Nothobranchius furzeri: one gene and its partner. The protein of the gene in region 2 purifies or fractionates together with the protein of the main gene of each other region. This does not show direct contact. Links are inferred from orthologs where the notes say so. Each region holds a gene or a part of one and is shown on either strand. Other genes may lie near its edges.

Region 1 (8,098 bases), on a different chromosome or scaffold from region 2:
GTTACAAGAGGCGATTAACACCACGTGACCAGCTACCGATCAGCAATCGTGAGCTCGCACGGACTTCTGGAGTGTTTAATATTTATCTCGTTCCTCATGAGGGTTGAAGCGGCGCAGCGAGCGGCTGCGACCCAAAAAGTATCAGAACCGCTCACGGCGCATTCGCAATCCTGCATCAACTCCGCTCATTGTCTGTGTGTGTGCGTTGATGCCTGGGCCGAGCTGACGGAGCTCCCGGCTGCAGTTTTGCGTGTAGGGAGGGGCGGGCGCTCTATCTGACTGGCCAATCACAGAGCGTGAAGACAGTCAGTTACCCAATGAGAATTTCATTCAGCACGATTATAGATATTTCCGAGTTTTACACTCGTTTCTTGCTCGTATTCGTCGAAAATGCTTTATCCGTACGCTCATAGCTGTAACCACCCTGCCGTGCCTCCTCCTCCTTGCTACCTGCCGGCTGTGATCACAAGCAACGACACAGTAGTTCCTGCTGCTTCTTCGGGAAACGGCGCAAAAAAAAAAAAAAAAAACATCAATAAAACTTGGGATGTTGTAGGCGTGGCGGTGGGATTTCAGCCGTGGCGGCCCGCCACGGCTACGCCTATGTAAGGGAAACCCTGTATATAGATTGTATATATAGATTCTTGCCAATACAGACCTACAAAAAAAACATGCTTTGTAGTTGTTTTAGTTTAACGACGGCAGCAGAAGAGTCGTGTTGCTGTTAGCAAATCAATGTTGATAAATTTGCATATCATAAATATTAATGAGAAAGACTCATAGTTCTGTTATTTCCCTCCTGCGATAAACTTCAACCCACTCAAACAGAAGTGCCAAAGCTTTTTTTCACACAGAAAACAACTCTCAAGGCATTTATTCATATGAAATATAAAAAAACATGTAAATGATACCTATAATAGATTGTTTCTCTAACAAACACGCACACATGAAGCCTACGTCTCCCCCCTTTCTGGTCGACTCATCGGTTACGGAAAAAAAGGAAAAAGAATGCAAGTCAACGGGGCTAAAAGAGCCATCTTCTAATCTGCTTTGCCTTACGCCCCGGATCACACATATATATGTTGTACTGCAATTTAAATGAAGAGTAATGATGGGTGTTTCAACCATGTCAGTAAGGTACATTGAGATTTATCAGCTTGTAAACATTCATAATCAGCATGACTACATCGGCAGCACGTCGCATATGTGACGTCACCACATAGTCCCCCCCCAGTGTAGCTGCTACTTACCAAATGGCCAGATTTATGGCGGTTCTTTCCTCCCGTGGGAAGGATTTGAAGTTTGCTGAACCTACAGCCATTTTCCATCAGTATTCTCCATGTCTGGTTTGTGTGAGGCACATTTGTAGTCCTTGCCTTATTTTCACACAAAACCTAAAATACCCCCCCCCCCGGACAATAAGGGCGTTCTTGGTATTAAAAAGCTTCTTTAAAATTCACAGACATCATATGTGAAATCCATGGAACATAACAAGCTGAATTAGAAAATAGCGTTTTTGGCCCCGTTGACTTGCATTAATTATTAAATATTGAATTTCCACTAATAACATTTATATTTAGGTATGAATCAACAAGAATTCAACAGAATTAGCCCTGGTATGAACAACACTACAGATGAAATTCAAAGTCTGACACAGTTTAAGTTCCCCCTCATTATCTATAATAACCAACACATTTTGACCCAGTAGCCCTAAACGGCAATAGCTCAGTTTATAGATGACAGATGTAAACCTATATAAACTTCAACAGTTACGCACAAAACGGAAGTAAATCACTAACAGATGATAAAACAGGTGAATCGCCTAAAAAAATCACACATCTCCTCTTTGAGGCAAGAACATTTTACCCCAAACTGGAAGCGCTTCACACCGGAGGACATTCACTTCACATCAAGCAGAAGCCAGAAATGAAAATTTAATGAAGCAAAGTTTACCCAAACTGCTGCTCCAGTCTTAATTATGAACTTTTCAAACATGTGTTTATGTCTTGACTGCACTTCAGATCGCTGCTCTCTGATTTCTAATCAGCTGCAGATTGAGAAAACGTGCGTCAGCCAAACTGTAAGTACGTGGTTTTGGACAGATAAGACTTCATGGGTTTCTACAACTTCAAATACTTTTGACATTTAAGAAAAAAAAAACTTTGGTGGTTAAAATAAAAAGCCATCACCTACTCACTATTGTGCCTCATCAACCATCTTTACATTTCACTTTAACAATTTCCCTTTAATCTCCGCTAAATCAGGTGGATGAAAGTGACAAAAATGTCATATTCCCATTACTGCTTCCCTAATACATTCCACCGTTTCTTATTAAATCACCTCGGCGAGCGCCTTTCTTCTGATATGATTTTCTGACATTCCAGAGAAGAATTAGCTCCATTTACCGACTATCCTGAGGGGGGTTCTCATTTCTTGCATTCTAATTAGATTTTATTGACATTAACTTAATGAATTTAGTTAAAAAGCCAAAACACTCAAAACTGCTGTGAGCACACTGAGTTTAATTATGCAAGATTTAAAAAACAAGCACCAGAAAAACTGGAGGCAGCAATTTAACTTGATTTTCTACAGAAATGTAGTATTCTGGGACTATATCTATGTTATTTTAATGCCATAATTGCATGGTGCAATTTGTGTTTACAAAGCTTCAAATCATTTTGATTGGTGTTTTTTCCCCCAATTCTCAGTCTAAAGCTTGGGCGTGTCACTAACAGAGTGGATCTACGTATCAAGGCCAAAGTGATGGAATTAAAAACAAGCAACTCCATAATTTCAAGATTTTAGATTTGTATTGAGAAATTAACCCTACCCGAGTCCTGACTGGACTTGGATTCAGAAAGACTGACGGCAGAAGCATCACGGGATTGGTCGATCATTCCGATGTTCACCTTGTGCTTGTAGGGATCCAGAGCTCCAAGGAGACCAAGAACACGAATAGCCTGTTGTGGGGAAGATACAAATGTTTGTAGTTTAACTTTATTTCATCATATCTACATAGGGTTATTTGTAGAATTATAGTAACAAAAGATTAAAGTAGCTCTCCGGAGTTTTCCCCTTTCAGAAATTACGTATGATTTTTCAGAAATCCGTAAAAGTGATTATCTTAACATGTACTGTGAAATAATGTTAACAATACATCTTTTTTTTGTTTTTTGCTAAGCTCACCCCTGCCCCACAGACCTCTGTGCAATACGAAACTGAGCACCAACCAGAACTAACCAATATCGTTAGACTACTGCTTACCTGCTTCAAATTTAAGTAATACCTTGGCTGATGCAGAGTTGATGAACTATCATGGACAAGTAAGTTTTTAAAATATAAACATATGAAAACACAGCATGACATGAGAATAACACTTGTAAACAATGTGTTTTAGCTCTATTTGTTGGCTACAGACGCACATTAATAAGCAAGAAACATGAAGTCGCCATCTTAAAAAAAAACGGATCAAGAGACTATTTGTGTGATATGCTCGTCAGCCACTACATGGTGCCATCGAATAAGAGAGATACTCTGGAAAGAGCCTTTAAAGAAGTCCTAAAACAACTTTTTTTATTATTATTAATGGAAAGTGTTCTTCGAGCATCTATATTGTTAGGAGAATGAAACTTTGTTGAGGCTCAAAATGGCCCAGGAGCCCTGACAAATGGCCAAACACAACTCCATCATGAAGCCCTACAATGGAAAGACTGATTTGCCCTGCCCACTTAACCAGGACATGAATATTAAATGAACTGCATGCTGATTGGCCAGTTTATCCCAATGGCTACCTGAATCTAGAAACTCCATGTACAGCAGTGTACAGTATCCAGATACCTCAGCTATGGATCTGTCTGGAATTCAAAGTATGGAACGTTACACTTGTGTTCCGACAATCTTCACTGTTACTCTCATCCAACATGCACGTTACCAGTAGCATGGCTTGGGTTAGCAGTAGCTCGGGCTAGCGTTTTACAGTTAGCATTTCAACTACAAACATCAATACATCGTCAACACTGAACTGGGTTGACATGCAAATTTAAGGGGGGATTTCTAAGCCGGGGTGGGAAATTCCAGTCCTCGGAGGCCACAATCCAGCATGTTTCATTTGTTTCCCTTCTCCAACACACTTGTTCAGCAAGTCATTGAAGCAGAGAAACAACTAAAACATGAAGGATACCCTCAAGAATCAGATTTACCATCCCGGTCTACGCCGATGACGTGTTGTACCAGCTTTTCTCTAAACTAATCGTTGCTCTATAGCCAATACAACTTTACTCGTTTGCATAAGAAAGTAGGTCGAAGACGACAGACTTTTGGCACATGAGTCATCTCAAGCCATCTGTGTTCAAACAGAAAAATGTGGTTTTGAATTCTAGGACACCTTTAAACTAGAAAAGTCTGGATCACAACTTCAGACTCTTTGAACTATTCAAAATAAAGCTTCAAATATTCTTTAATCTGCAAATTTTCATGTTAATTCATTCATTTCATGCTACAGCCTCAACACACACCTCTCTCCTGATGCCCTGGTTTTGTTCAGTCTTGAGAAAATTGAGCAGCACTTCAAGCAGGGATGGGTATTTACGATAGGGCTCCACCACATAGCCAGTACTAGCCACCTGCTGGCCCAGAGTCCAAAGCGCCACCTGCAGGAGAGCCAAAAATAACCACCATAGAGGTATTACATTTAGGAAGCGGTTTCATACGAAGTAAATCAATTTATTCAATATGTGAAGTGCTACAGAACAATTTTATTTTATGGTATTATTCAGACCTAATAAATATTCTTCTGACTAATAATTCCACCTTTCATACCTGGCGTTTAGCCAAAGAGGACGAGTCCTGCAGCATGTCCATGATGATAGGAAAAAGCTCATCCATCCACTTCCTCATCTCTAGGCCACTCACCTGACAGGTTAAAACACACCCAGAAAAAATATACTGACAAAAATCCAAAAAGTCATCAAATGTGTATCATTCAAATCAGCAAATTTTATTACTGTAAAATAAGGTAAAAGTTATAGAGAACTGCATTTATACATCAATACTTGGAATGCACCAGAGTGAACACAGATAATATCACTGGCCAATAACCGATATTTGCCGATATCAAGATGTGTCCAATACCAATATGTTATTACACACACACACACACACACACACACACACACACACACACACACACACACACACACACACACACACACACACACACACACACACACACACACATTTACGCTCCTGAGACGATTAGCACAGGACTAAACAATTACACATCATCACCCCCTCACCCTCTGAAACTGATACACAGATGGAAACGAGATGATATGTTAAAAATGACTAACACTGGCCGCTAACAATATTGATGCCGATATTTCGTGCATCCCTAATCAATACACAACAAAACATGACTGCTGAATGAAATTATCATCCAGGTTTGTTATTTTAGCTGCAAAAACTGCACATTAGAACAAATACGCCACACATAAGAGCACCATTTAGATCAAATATCCCAGACGAGAGAATGAACAGGTTTACCTGAGCCAACTCTCCGATCGTTGCAAGGACACTGATCACCACTCCAGGGTTGGGATCTGGATCTTTAAGCTTGAGAATCAGAGCCTGCAAACAGAAAAACAAATTATTTATTTTCCTGGTTAAAAATAGAAAATTGCTTGAACAGAAATGGGAGTTACTTTAAAATGAAATCTAGAGGTTTTAAAAGCTTTTCTCAGTACAAACGTGTGATTTAGTCATATAGGTATATGGAAAAGTCGCAGAATTTTACCTTGAGAATGGGTTCCATATATGGACGTATGAGTCGGGGGGCGTTGGAGACTAAGTGACCAAGCATACGTGCACTCTGCTCTTTGTTCCTCCCAACACCGCTGTGCTCCAGCTCGGTTAAAATCTGAAAATAAAACACAATATTCATGGAACACTCGATTTCCCTTTAATGCAAAGACTGGCACACATTATGACATTTGTTACTAAAGATGAAGAAACATCTTTCTTGATCCGGGCTTTGCTGCCCTCAGCTGGTACCCAACTTAAACAGCAGGCCGGATTTCACAGAACCAGCACCTTCCTTCTACTGGGCTAAAAATGTCTAGCAGCTTGAAGTTGTGTTGTGTCCTCTCCTACCTGGATTAGCATCTTGCGAAGGAAGGGCATAACAAAAGCAGGATTCATGCTGCTGAGGCGTCCAATTGTGCAGATAGCCAGCTCTCGTATCTCAAACACTTCATCGTTCAGGGCAACAAACAGGGCCTGTAAATTCTCCGCCTGGGCGAGGTGTGCGTCAAAACGCTCATCGAGGGAAGCAAGTACACAGTATCGGATATCTGGATCTGTGGGGAAACAAAAATGAGAAACTGTGAGATCACAGCTGCAAGGTGGCACAGTTGGCAGCACTATTGCTGCACAGCAAGAAAGTAGCATGTCCAACTCGCAGCAGTTGCATGAGTGGGTTGTCTTCAAGTACTCCTGTGCCCTCCTGTCCCAAAGGCCAAAATCATGCATGTCGGGCTAGCTGGAGACTTGACTTGATGGCTGCTGGAGATAGACACCAGCTCCCCACGACCCCACTGAGTCATACCATATCATATCATATAGTATCAACTTTATTTCTATGGCACAATTTAAAATACAGCGTGAGAGCTGACCAAAGTGCTGAACAGGCAGGGTCAATTAAAACAGAGAAAGACAAAAGCAATAAGGAGCTAAACAAGGCGTCACTAGCAGGTAAAATCAATAAGAACAGTAAATAAAACACAACACTAAAAACAATAAAACGATAAAATGAGACACTGTCTAAAAGCCAAGTCATAAAAGTGGGTCTTTAAACAAGACTTAAAAACAGGCAAAGACAGGCATTCAGCCCGAGTCATGAAGGCGAGTGAGTCTGAGATCAGTACGATCCCAAAATCTTGACAACTTTACCTGGATCGGTGATGCCCACGACCAACAGCTTGCTGAGCACATCTGCAACAACCTGAACAGCGGTTTGACTGACCACATGGCCACTGATCAGATGGATGGAGGGCGTGAGGAGACGTGAGCAGGTCCGGGCAGCTTCCATTCGGATCTCTTTGTGTTCACTGTTCAGGAAGTGATCGGCACAGTGGCGCACAAACTGGGTCAGGGAGTGTCCTGGCGAATAAAGTTTAAACGTTGTGTTAGCGAGGAAGAAAGCAACCGTCAGCGCTTTGCTGTGTGGTTCTCTGAGCCCAGTTCCACCACCAAACTGGCACGGAACAGGGAGGGTTGGTTTGCTAGTTTCACTGTCCCGATGACCCAGACCACGCCAGTCACAGGACATTTGCCTCCTTCTGCTGTAGGCACAGAATTTTGTACAGCTAATGTGGAGCAACAATACAGTCCACTGATTGGAGAGCAAAAATGTGTCACTACTTGCAACAAGCAAAACAAACCTCAGAGTTTCGTTATTTGTATTTTCATTAGTTGTACACGAATGTGAGAAATTCCAGCAAGCGGCTTGAGAGCTCCATACATTCCTCTCCATCATCGTGAGAGTCTACGCTATGGAAGAGCTAGGTGGATCGGTAAGGATTGCAGGTTTCTCAGCGGATGGCAGCCGAAGGATTTGCGTGAATGTCGGAACGGTGTCGGGCCAAGCTGAAGAAATTAAAGCTTAATGTAGAAAAGTTAGGAACAGAAACAGCCGGAGTGGAAATGGGAGAAATACACAGAGATTAGGGCTGGGCAATAAATCGAAAATTCATCGTTATCGAAATTTCTGACTTTTATCGAGATTAATTTTCCCATGTCAATAAATTTGATAGTGAAAAAAATGAAAAGCTGTGTAGGTTGGCAACGTTCATGTCCCTTTAAGAAGCTGTACCACATTGAGTCACGTACAAATGTGGCTGAACGTAATACACGTGACAGCCCCATCTAGTGGATAACTTTAGTTTCTGCGCATACCTGTAGTAATTGTCCATTTATCGTTATCGAGGGGAAATCCTCAATATATCGTGTTATTGATTTCAGGACATTTCGCTCAGCCCAACAGAGACGCTACGACGCGCTGGATGCCACAGACCGGCAAACCGAGGCAGCGAGGCAGGCTGGG
Region 2 (8,777 bases):
TTGAATTGTGATCAGCAGAAGCTTTTCAGCTTCGCGCCTCACTTTGTTACAGCAGCGGCCCAAAACGATCTCCTAACACATGCTTCCTGATCACGTGATGTGTGACGTATGTGGATGAAGATCAGTTTTAGAGCTGGGATGTTTGTTCTCATGGTGCGGGGGCTCGTTCCGATGCCCACACAGTAAAAAAAATGCAAATGACGACTTAAGTCGTCAATGGCAGTGAATGAGTTAAATTGGAATTTGTTTTTTTGCTTTCCCTCATTTTTTTTAGGAAATTTGCCAACATATTTATGTAATTTTATTTCTATTTTAGTTACATTTTTGTAAATTTGTTTCCATTAATCAGTCGGCTAATCTGTAATAGATATCATGATTTTTCATGTTAATAGAAGTTTAATGTCATCGAACCCATCTCCAAATACAATGAGGTGTAGTTTCAGTACAACCATTTTCGAGGTAAGGAAACAGGGGTCACACAAGAGTGGGGAGGGACAAGGAGAAGAAAACATGGTCCCTACTCTGTTCCCTGCAGGATCCAGAAATGGCTTGCAGGAAAAAACACACCAAAACTCTAAAGCACAAACTCGGACAGTAACAACATGTCCGCTGGGTGGGGGGAGGGGCTGGGATCCCCCAAACAGACGAGAGCATGCAGCATCCGCACTTCAATCCCCAATGCTCAGAGGTGTGGAGAAGATTCGAGGAATGGAGAGTGCATCGAGTCCCTGAAGAGTCTGTGGTCTCACCCAGATCACCCAGAGGCCAACCGAGCGCGTCACAGTTTCAACCAGGATTGGGGGAGGGATTTCAAAGCATTTGTCAGCATTCCTTCTGTGGGAATTTTGGACTCTTCAGCCTCTATTCTATTCTATTCTATTCTATAAATAATCTTGCTTTTAGTATCACAATTATTAAAGTTTTATATAATTATTGTATAATTTATAATTATTATATATCGTATCATTGAATCGCCAGATGTTTGCCAGTACACACCCCTACCATTCTAGATCACTCAAACACAGAGGTCTAGTGGTTCCATCATCTTTAGCTTTAATAACGATGCTGCTCAAGCTTCAGATAATCACTGTGAACATGTCTCACTTTGAAATGGACAAAACCTGATATACAGGAGGATACTGGATATGGCAAACATGCTAGAAGTCATCAGAGTGACCTCAGAACAGTTGGAGAGAGCTGAAAATCAGTGAGTACAGTAGTTTACAATGTAGTGGACAGCAGACGCACAAAAGCTCTACATCACTTCCACAATATTACCAGTGGGAGGCATAGTGGTGGTAAATCATTACAAGAATAAAATATTCCAACGGCTGAGTATTTTCCAGCATCTTAAAAGTGAGCTTTCTAACATTTTTCTATTATTCTTCCCAAATCTGAACACAAAGTTAGTCGGAACATTCGTGGCTTCAGTTCAACATAAGAGCCATTAACTGATGGTTCTATTTTGAGCCGGTGTCCTGTGATGCATCAAGGGAAGAGCTGAAATTGCTTCACAGAGGGACAATATTTTTCCACATTTACCCACACCAAAACATTATTTTTGTGTGCAGCAGAAGTAAAATGAGGGAATTCGTCTGTGACCAATACTCCTCCTCTAGAACTGTCACTCATTATCCATTTTCCTTTGGATTGTTGCCATGCAACAGCTCAATAATGCAACATTTTCCTCTGTGGATTGTAATCATTACTCAGGAGGGTTTTCGAACCAGAAAGGCAAACTGCCAGAAGAGACTCTGAAGAGTCTAAATTCTATTCAGCGCCAGCCGAAACAGTCGTGCACAAAATGCAACAAAGCAAGAGGAAGTCTGGAGGCTGTGAGACGGAAGCCAGTCAGACTCTCATTTATACACCAGCACATGCACACGAGGACTCGGCACTCACAAAATGTTTGTTTTCATTTGCTCCATCGGATAAAGCTTTTTCTGTAGTTGAGGCGGAGCGGACAACCACAAGCAGTGTGAAGGCATCATTTAAAGGGAAGTTCAAACTGAGAGCATGTTGTCGAGGCAGCTAGACTGTTACTAAATCACCTGGCTCCATTAAAGAATCAATTACAGCTCTTCCCTCCTGTGTGTGCAGTTATTTACCTGAAAAATCTTTAGACAGCCAAACAAAGCGGAACACTGTACTTTAAGGCCAGTGCTTTCTGCGATATGCTATCATGCACCGCGTGGCTCTTGTGTTGCACATAAATAACAATTCTGCCGCGCTGAGGCAGCCGTGCGACTGGGAGCGGCACGCTGTTACCTTTGGTCGAGGCGGACAGCCGGTGGCCAGGCGCTGCAGCTGCTCTGAAGTGTGGCTGCAGGAGAGGAGATCTGAGCAGCAAGCTGTGCGGCCCAGTCTCTTCATCAGGGAGGAGATGATGCTGCAGCCACAGCCACACATCGACTTGCTCATTAGGAACCTGGCTGTTCTGAGGTAAGAAGATGTGTGGAGAAAACGACGCAGCTACTTCCTGGTCCTCAGAGCTGGGCTGTAATCCACATGGTGCCGATCCACAGGTATTCCGTCACAGACTGGGCTCAGGTTTGTGCTACAGAGAGCACACATGCAGATGCTCACCTTGGTGGAGGTGCTTGAGTTCAGAACTATAATTTGTCAGTCCATTTCCCCTCATGATCACTTTCTCTACTCCTTTTACCACACGACTGTCTTAAAGCAGTGCCTTCTGCTGTAACACCCCCACTGCTGCCAAACTCACTTCCGTCCACTAAACACCTTCCTTTGATTGCTACACAGAACACAGCGTCTGCCACCACTCGCTCCCTGTCTCACACCATCTCCATCTGTCTCCTCCTGCTCCCTCCGCTGCCTCTGACTGTTGTGCTCTGAGGAAGCTATCCCTGTGAGTGCTGCTGCCACCACTGTACCCCCCACCACCACCAGAGGTAAACCACTCAGCCTGAACTCCTCCAAGTTGCAGATAAAAGTGCTTTTTCCTGTGTGAAATCTGAGCTCCTGGTTGCTCAGTTAATTGAGGAAGCCGTGGACAGATTATTACAAGAAATTCAAGCCACTCTGTGCACACTAGAAGGACTGATAAGTAGTGAGGATCCAGTATGGGGGAGGGGTTCTGGGTAAGCATTCAGGAGACGGGAGTATTATGGTAATAATCTGTCACAGGGGTCTGAATGCACTGCTGATTACTGCAATGATGTTTTAACTGAAAAGATGCTTTGAAAAGGAGAAAATCTTCAGAAGGTGACAGTTTTTCCAACTGATTAAGACAAACTAAAAAGCCAATCAGAAAAACTGCAATTAGATGTCAATGCAGTGATTTAGCATCAGCGACATTAGATCAGACATGTATAGTTTCTGTTAGCAAATTCAAATAAGGAATATTTCTTTTATCCTATCTGAGTAACCCCGAGCATTCTTGGTCATCTCTCCACGGATGTTCAGACTGGAGAAGGAAAAATGAACATTACTCAGCACAAAAGCTAATGGTTACCACAGCTGATGAAGTCAGGAAGCTTTAAGAAGAGAAGGCAAGTAGGAGGAGCAGCAGTGGTGGGAAGAGAAAGATGGAAGGATGATAGACTGAGAAAGAGTCTACTGTAAAACTAACAGCAACCGCTGGCTATTAATAGCAAACCCAACATTGCTGAATGACTAAACCAAAATCAACGCCTGTCATCATGTCTAATCCAAGGAGACAGAAAAAGGAGAAAATGGAAATGAATAGACTGGATGAAGTGGTCAAGTTACATGACGTCAAGCTCTGACTCATGAACTACCAATCTGAAGCTCGGAGTTTGGCAAAAAGCCTTCAACATCGTTGGTCTGCAGAAAACCAGACGTAACCATATTTGTGCATAAGGATCTGGCTGAGTGATGTCAGAAAACCAGCTGGACAGAAATAAAACACCAGAAAAGATCTAATGTCTATTTAACTAGGAAACTATTCAAAAGACACCTCAGTGCTTTGACCTGAGTAGGTGAGTTTCTATAATAACACCAATCTAATGCTCATTCACCAGGCATCCAATCAAATCAGCAGCCCTTCTTAAATCAGTCTTTTGAGGGTGCATTTCTTGTTGGTGCTTAAAGGGGTCATATAATGGAAAATCCATTTGTTGGAGCTTTTTAGTATGTAACACTGTTGCTTTCTCATGAAAAATATCCCCAAACCCATTGTTGGCAGGGTTGCCTGCATTCATGCCTTTTTCTGTTTCAGCTGCAAATTTTGAATTTTATAGTGAAATTCGTGAAATGGCCACATGTATAAGTTGTACGTCACTCCTTCTTCCTGCTCCAAACATCAGGACCTGCTCCTCCCTCAGAAGCCAGTCTCCGGTCTGAAACCGGTCTCCCTTGGCCAGCTTAGGCAACAAGTGTTATGCAACAGACTTGGTAGTCTAGTGCCAAGTGTGCTGGGCTGGGCTGGGCTGGGCTGTGCTGGGCTGTGCTGTGCTGGGCTGGGCTGGGCTGGGCTGGGCTGGGCTGTGCTGTGCTGTGCTGGGCTGTGCTGTGCTGTGCTGGGCTGGGCTGGGCTGGGCTGGGCTGGGCTGTGCTGGGCTGGGCTGGGCTGTGCTGTGCTGGGCTGGGCTGGGCTGTGCTGTGCTGGGCTGGGCTGGGCTGGGCTGGGCTGTGCTGGGCTGGGCTGGGCTGGGCTGGGCTGGGATGTAGTTTTGTGCAGGTTCACGTCCCAGTATCAACACTTGCCAGTATGATGTTTTCAACCCTTTATTGGTAAACTGTTGAAAATATAAGGACTAATATGTGTTCTTTGCTTTCTTTATTTAGCCAGTGTGAGTCCATGTGAGGTGAGCAGAGTAAATCAATTAAAATGCTGCTTGGACCAAATTCTAACGTCTTTAAGAGACGCTAAATATTTTGCTAAAAATAATCAATAATGCTAAAACATAAAAAGATGAAATCTGCTTCAGCTGGCTACATAAATTACTGCCGACCCCATAGCCAACACAGTAACCAGCTTGCCTAAGATGCTGTTGTAGGCATGCGTTATCTGAGGGGGTGTAGGTGGAGCTTCACTGAAGCCAAGTGTGAAACCTGAACATAAAGTCGGCTCATTTCATTTGAGCCTCGCAGCATCTGAGTCGTTTCAACATCTCACCAATCTGTCATTTTAATGGCAAATAAATACAATGGGGAAATTAAAATCCACATTTCTTTTTAAATAGAATTCCCCTTCTCCGTTCCACCTGATAAACTTGGGATTTGTTTCATATTTTGAGAAAGATACACGTGAACATTTATTCGCCTAACAGACCCTGAACGATAGATCAGAATATTTGAAAGCAACAGACTGTTTCACTTGCACTTTATCATTTATTGCCATGCACTGATGAGAACAATAGCTGCAGACTTCCGCACAACTATTTACCTTTGAATCACAGATCTTTGTTGTGTGTGTTGGGTTTATGAAAGCTCAAAGACCTTCATCCAGACTCCTACCTCTCATCACTCCTTTATCTGTCTGCTAACTCGGTTTGTGTACAGCCTACGTTCACATCTGTCACTTTAGAAAACTTCTGGTTGTTTATTTTAAATACAGACTGAGCAGGTTAAACTCTAAATGTATGGAAAGAAAAAGCTGTGAGTACAACAAACCCAACAGCTCTGGACTTGCTCAAGTCACCTCACAAAGACAATAATAAACTGACAATATTCTCTATTCAATAGATGAAAACCTTCAGAGACTAACAGCCAGTTTCACCCAGCACATAGGTTGTGAAAAGCATAATTGCTGCTGTTTGCTGACATCTTTGTGCTGCTGATGGAAGTGATGCTTCAGGAAGCCGCTCGCTGTGATTCTGTGCCTGAAATCGACTGAAACGTTGGGATGTCATCTCCCGGAACACGTTCCACATGAGCAGAGAAATGAAAACAACAAAACAGAGACATACTCCTAAAACTGAAAATAACATATAAATATGTCTTACAGTATAAAGTAAATGGCTTGGTAGCATCTGCTTCCCATCTCTTACACCAAGCAACAGTTTAAAGAGCAGCGGACGACTGGATGTTTCTTCTGTGCTTGTTTACAGGTTTGTTCTTTTCTTGCCCAGGACTTAAAGACAAAGCAGGGTGAAACAGCGCCCTATTAATTATGTATGAATATCGCTTTTCACTGTGTCAGCTCACTGCTTCAGTATTGATCCATAAAGCAGAGACTCGCTGCACCGCGGCACCGGGTCTCACAGGAAGACCCGGCTGCAGCTGGAGGGGGCAGTGACACCTCGGCAAACAGGTAGACTGAAAATCAATGCTATTACTATTTTCATTATCATCATCATCATCATCATCATCATCATAAAAACGTTACCTGTTTTTGTGTGGATTTTTTATTTACTCGAAATTAAAGGTTTTATTGTTTTTTTCCCCCCTGGTAACAAACTCAGGATGTAAAATCTGAGGGGAGGGGTCGTTTATCCTTACATAAAATATGCCCACGGGGTAATTCATCTGCACAAAAGCAAAACCATCTCTTAAAACCAATAAGTGCATCAAATGGTTTTAAATCCAGTCATTAATGAGGATTAAAATCCAAACAATGAAAAGCTGAAGAACAAAATACTCAAGTCAAATTTGCTCTTTGTTTATGTTGATTATTTGTCCTGCTACTGTTCAAACGTGTTTAGTCAAGACAAAGTGTCAACAAAATAAATAATACTTTAAAAAACACCACACACACACGAGCTGTGGACAGATGTTTCTCTGAGAAGGCTGCACTCTAGTGGGCAAAGGCTGCAAACTCCAGCAAGGCAACCAGAAGCTGAAAACATCATGTTTACATAAAACACAAGCAGCAAATATACATAACATGATATTAAATTGGATACATTTAGAAAAGAATGTGATTATAATGTGAAAATAAAAAATATATATTAAATACATATTTATGGTGAAATACAACTAAACGATTTACATAATTTCTCAAATATGCTTTAAAAAATACTAGTAGAGCTACGAGAGTCTATCTGACAAAGGTGCTGTCAAAAATGAGCTTTGATTGGATTATCTCTAAAGCAGGAACGACATTATGTCATGTTAAGGTTGCATCTTGGCTGTTCTTCAGTTAAGAAACAGATTTTAATGGAAACAAGGCTGATAAATTTTGTGACATGTTTTTTTTTACATCTGAATTCCATAAAGAGTTGGAAAAGCTTTGAGGTAAGGACACGAGACTCGGATCATTATGCAGAAGGCCGGGATTCCTCAGGTAGGGTTTCAGGTTGTTTGCAACACATGAAAGATGTTTAATGACAATGTTTCAGTAGCTATGATGTTTGTCTTGCTGATTGGGTGTACGTACAATTTCTCCAATAAGTAAAATATGATGTAAACCCTCTGAGAGTCGCTAACCATAAATAATGATTACCTTCTCTGATTCTTCATCTTAACCCTTATTCAGGCTTTAGGCTGAGAACATGATGGGTATATAGAACAATTTAAAGCTATTGGACATGTTATAACAGTTTCCCATCCTGTCTCCATCCAGCATCAATTCTGTGAAACCTGCTGTTCTGAATTATTTACAGGGAACGCGTGGGTGAGAGGTGGGGGAGTGATCAGGGAGAGACAGAGAATAACTAAATCTCTGTCATTTTCAACACTCTGCTTAGAAAGCAGTTTCTAATTTAATCTTACAGCACTTTTCAGAAAGTGACAGCAATGCAGATCCTCTATTAGTGTGATACAATAAAGAAAAATGCTATTTTTGCTTGAAAACCTTTTCTAAGAACTTAAAGAAGAAGAATCTTGAGTCGACAATAAGGAAACAGTTCTACAAAAGACTGGGTCATTTGTTCTTATAATGAAACCAATTGAAATAGAACAATAAAGAATCATTTACTAAAGTCAGATTATAGCAGCCACTGTCATTAACCTGCAGCTTTGAATCCTAAACAGTAAAACAGTTCTGTCAGTCATCGTCATATCAGACGTTCGTCTCCAGAACAAAAAGAGATGCATCTAAGTTGCACTTAGATGAAAACAAACTCCCCCAAACCATCATCCTGAATTATTCAAACTCCCTATCAAATGTCCCCTTTCCGGACCCTGAGACCGAGTTAGAGATTTAAAGGAAAAAAACAAGGTTAACATTTAGACATTTGAGTGCCCATTCACATGTTTAAAAATGCAGCAGCAAGCCAGAGAAGGTAGGGCGGTGTGCTATTACTTTACCTTTAATTCACCAACGCGTGCCTCGAATTAATTATTCACAACTTACACCACACACTTAGGCTTTAAGGACCCCCCCCCAAACACACACACACACACACACACACACACACACACACACACACAGCTCTGAACACCAAGTATACAGGAAACACCTGAAGTGCATGCAGCATGAATCACTTACGTGTGCTGAATATGTATATGTGGCTTTCATCTAATGTGATTCATAAAAGAAATTTGAGAAGTTTGCAAATAAAATATCAGACCTAAAAATATGCAAAAACAGTAGAATATTAGAATCCAGAAAACCAGAAAAAGGAAGACTGTTGTGTTGTCTATTGATGTCTATTGTCTTTGAGGCTTGCCGTAGTTGTAGGACATGGATGGGGATTGGAGGATGGACATCCATCCATCCATTTTCATCCGCTTATCCGGAGTCGGGTCGCGGGGGCAGTAGCCTAAGTCGAGAGGCCCAGACTTCCCTCTCCCCAGCCACTCGGGCCAACTGAGAGACATAGTCCCTCCACCGTGTCCTGGGTCTACCTTTAGGCCTCCTCCTGGTTGGACGTGCCCGGAAAACCTCACCAGGGAGGTGTCCAGGAGGC

What was found. The genes of interacting proteins can lie anywhere in the genome.
Region 1: the proteins of fbxw7 (region 2) and mtor purify together in Homo sapiens (affinity purification with western blotting; 9 studies listed by BioGRID and IntAct, with this or other methods). This does not show direct contact. The link is inferred for Nothobranchius furzeri from reciprocal best matches to the Homo sapiens genes FBXW7 and MTOR.

Annotation. Positions count from the first base shown.
Region 1 is NC_091755.1:52,495,481-52,503,578, forward strand, and holds part of mtor (serine/threonine-protein kinase mTOR), read right to left. Parts: intron 7,156-8,098; coding exon 6,946-7,155; intron 6,354-6,945; coding exon 6,148-6,353; intron 5,915-6,147; coding exon 5,792-5,914; intron 5,626-5,791; coding exon 5,542-5,625; intron 4,912-5,541; coding exon 4,819-4,911; intron 4,650-4,818; coding exon 4,515-4,649; intron 2,961-4,514; coding exon 2,831-2,960; intron 1-2,830. UniProt on the Homo sapiens protein: Serine/threonine protein kinase which is a central regulator of cellular metabolism, growth and survival in response to hormones, growth factors, nutrients, energy and stress signals.
Region 2 is NC_091747.1:80,825,410-80,834,186, forward strand, and holds the start of fbxw7 (F-box/WD repeat-containing protein 7), read right to left. Parts: upstream 4,433-8,777; 5' UTR 2,422-4,432; coding exon 2,269-2,421; intron 1-2,268. UniProt on the Homo sapiens protein: Substrate recognition component of a SCF (SKP1-CUL1-F-box protein) E3 ubiquitin-protein ligase complex which mediates the ubiquitination and subsequent proteasomal degradation of target proteins.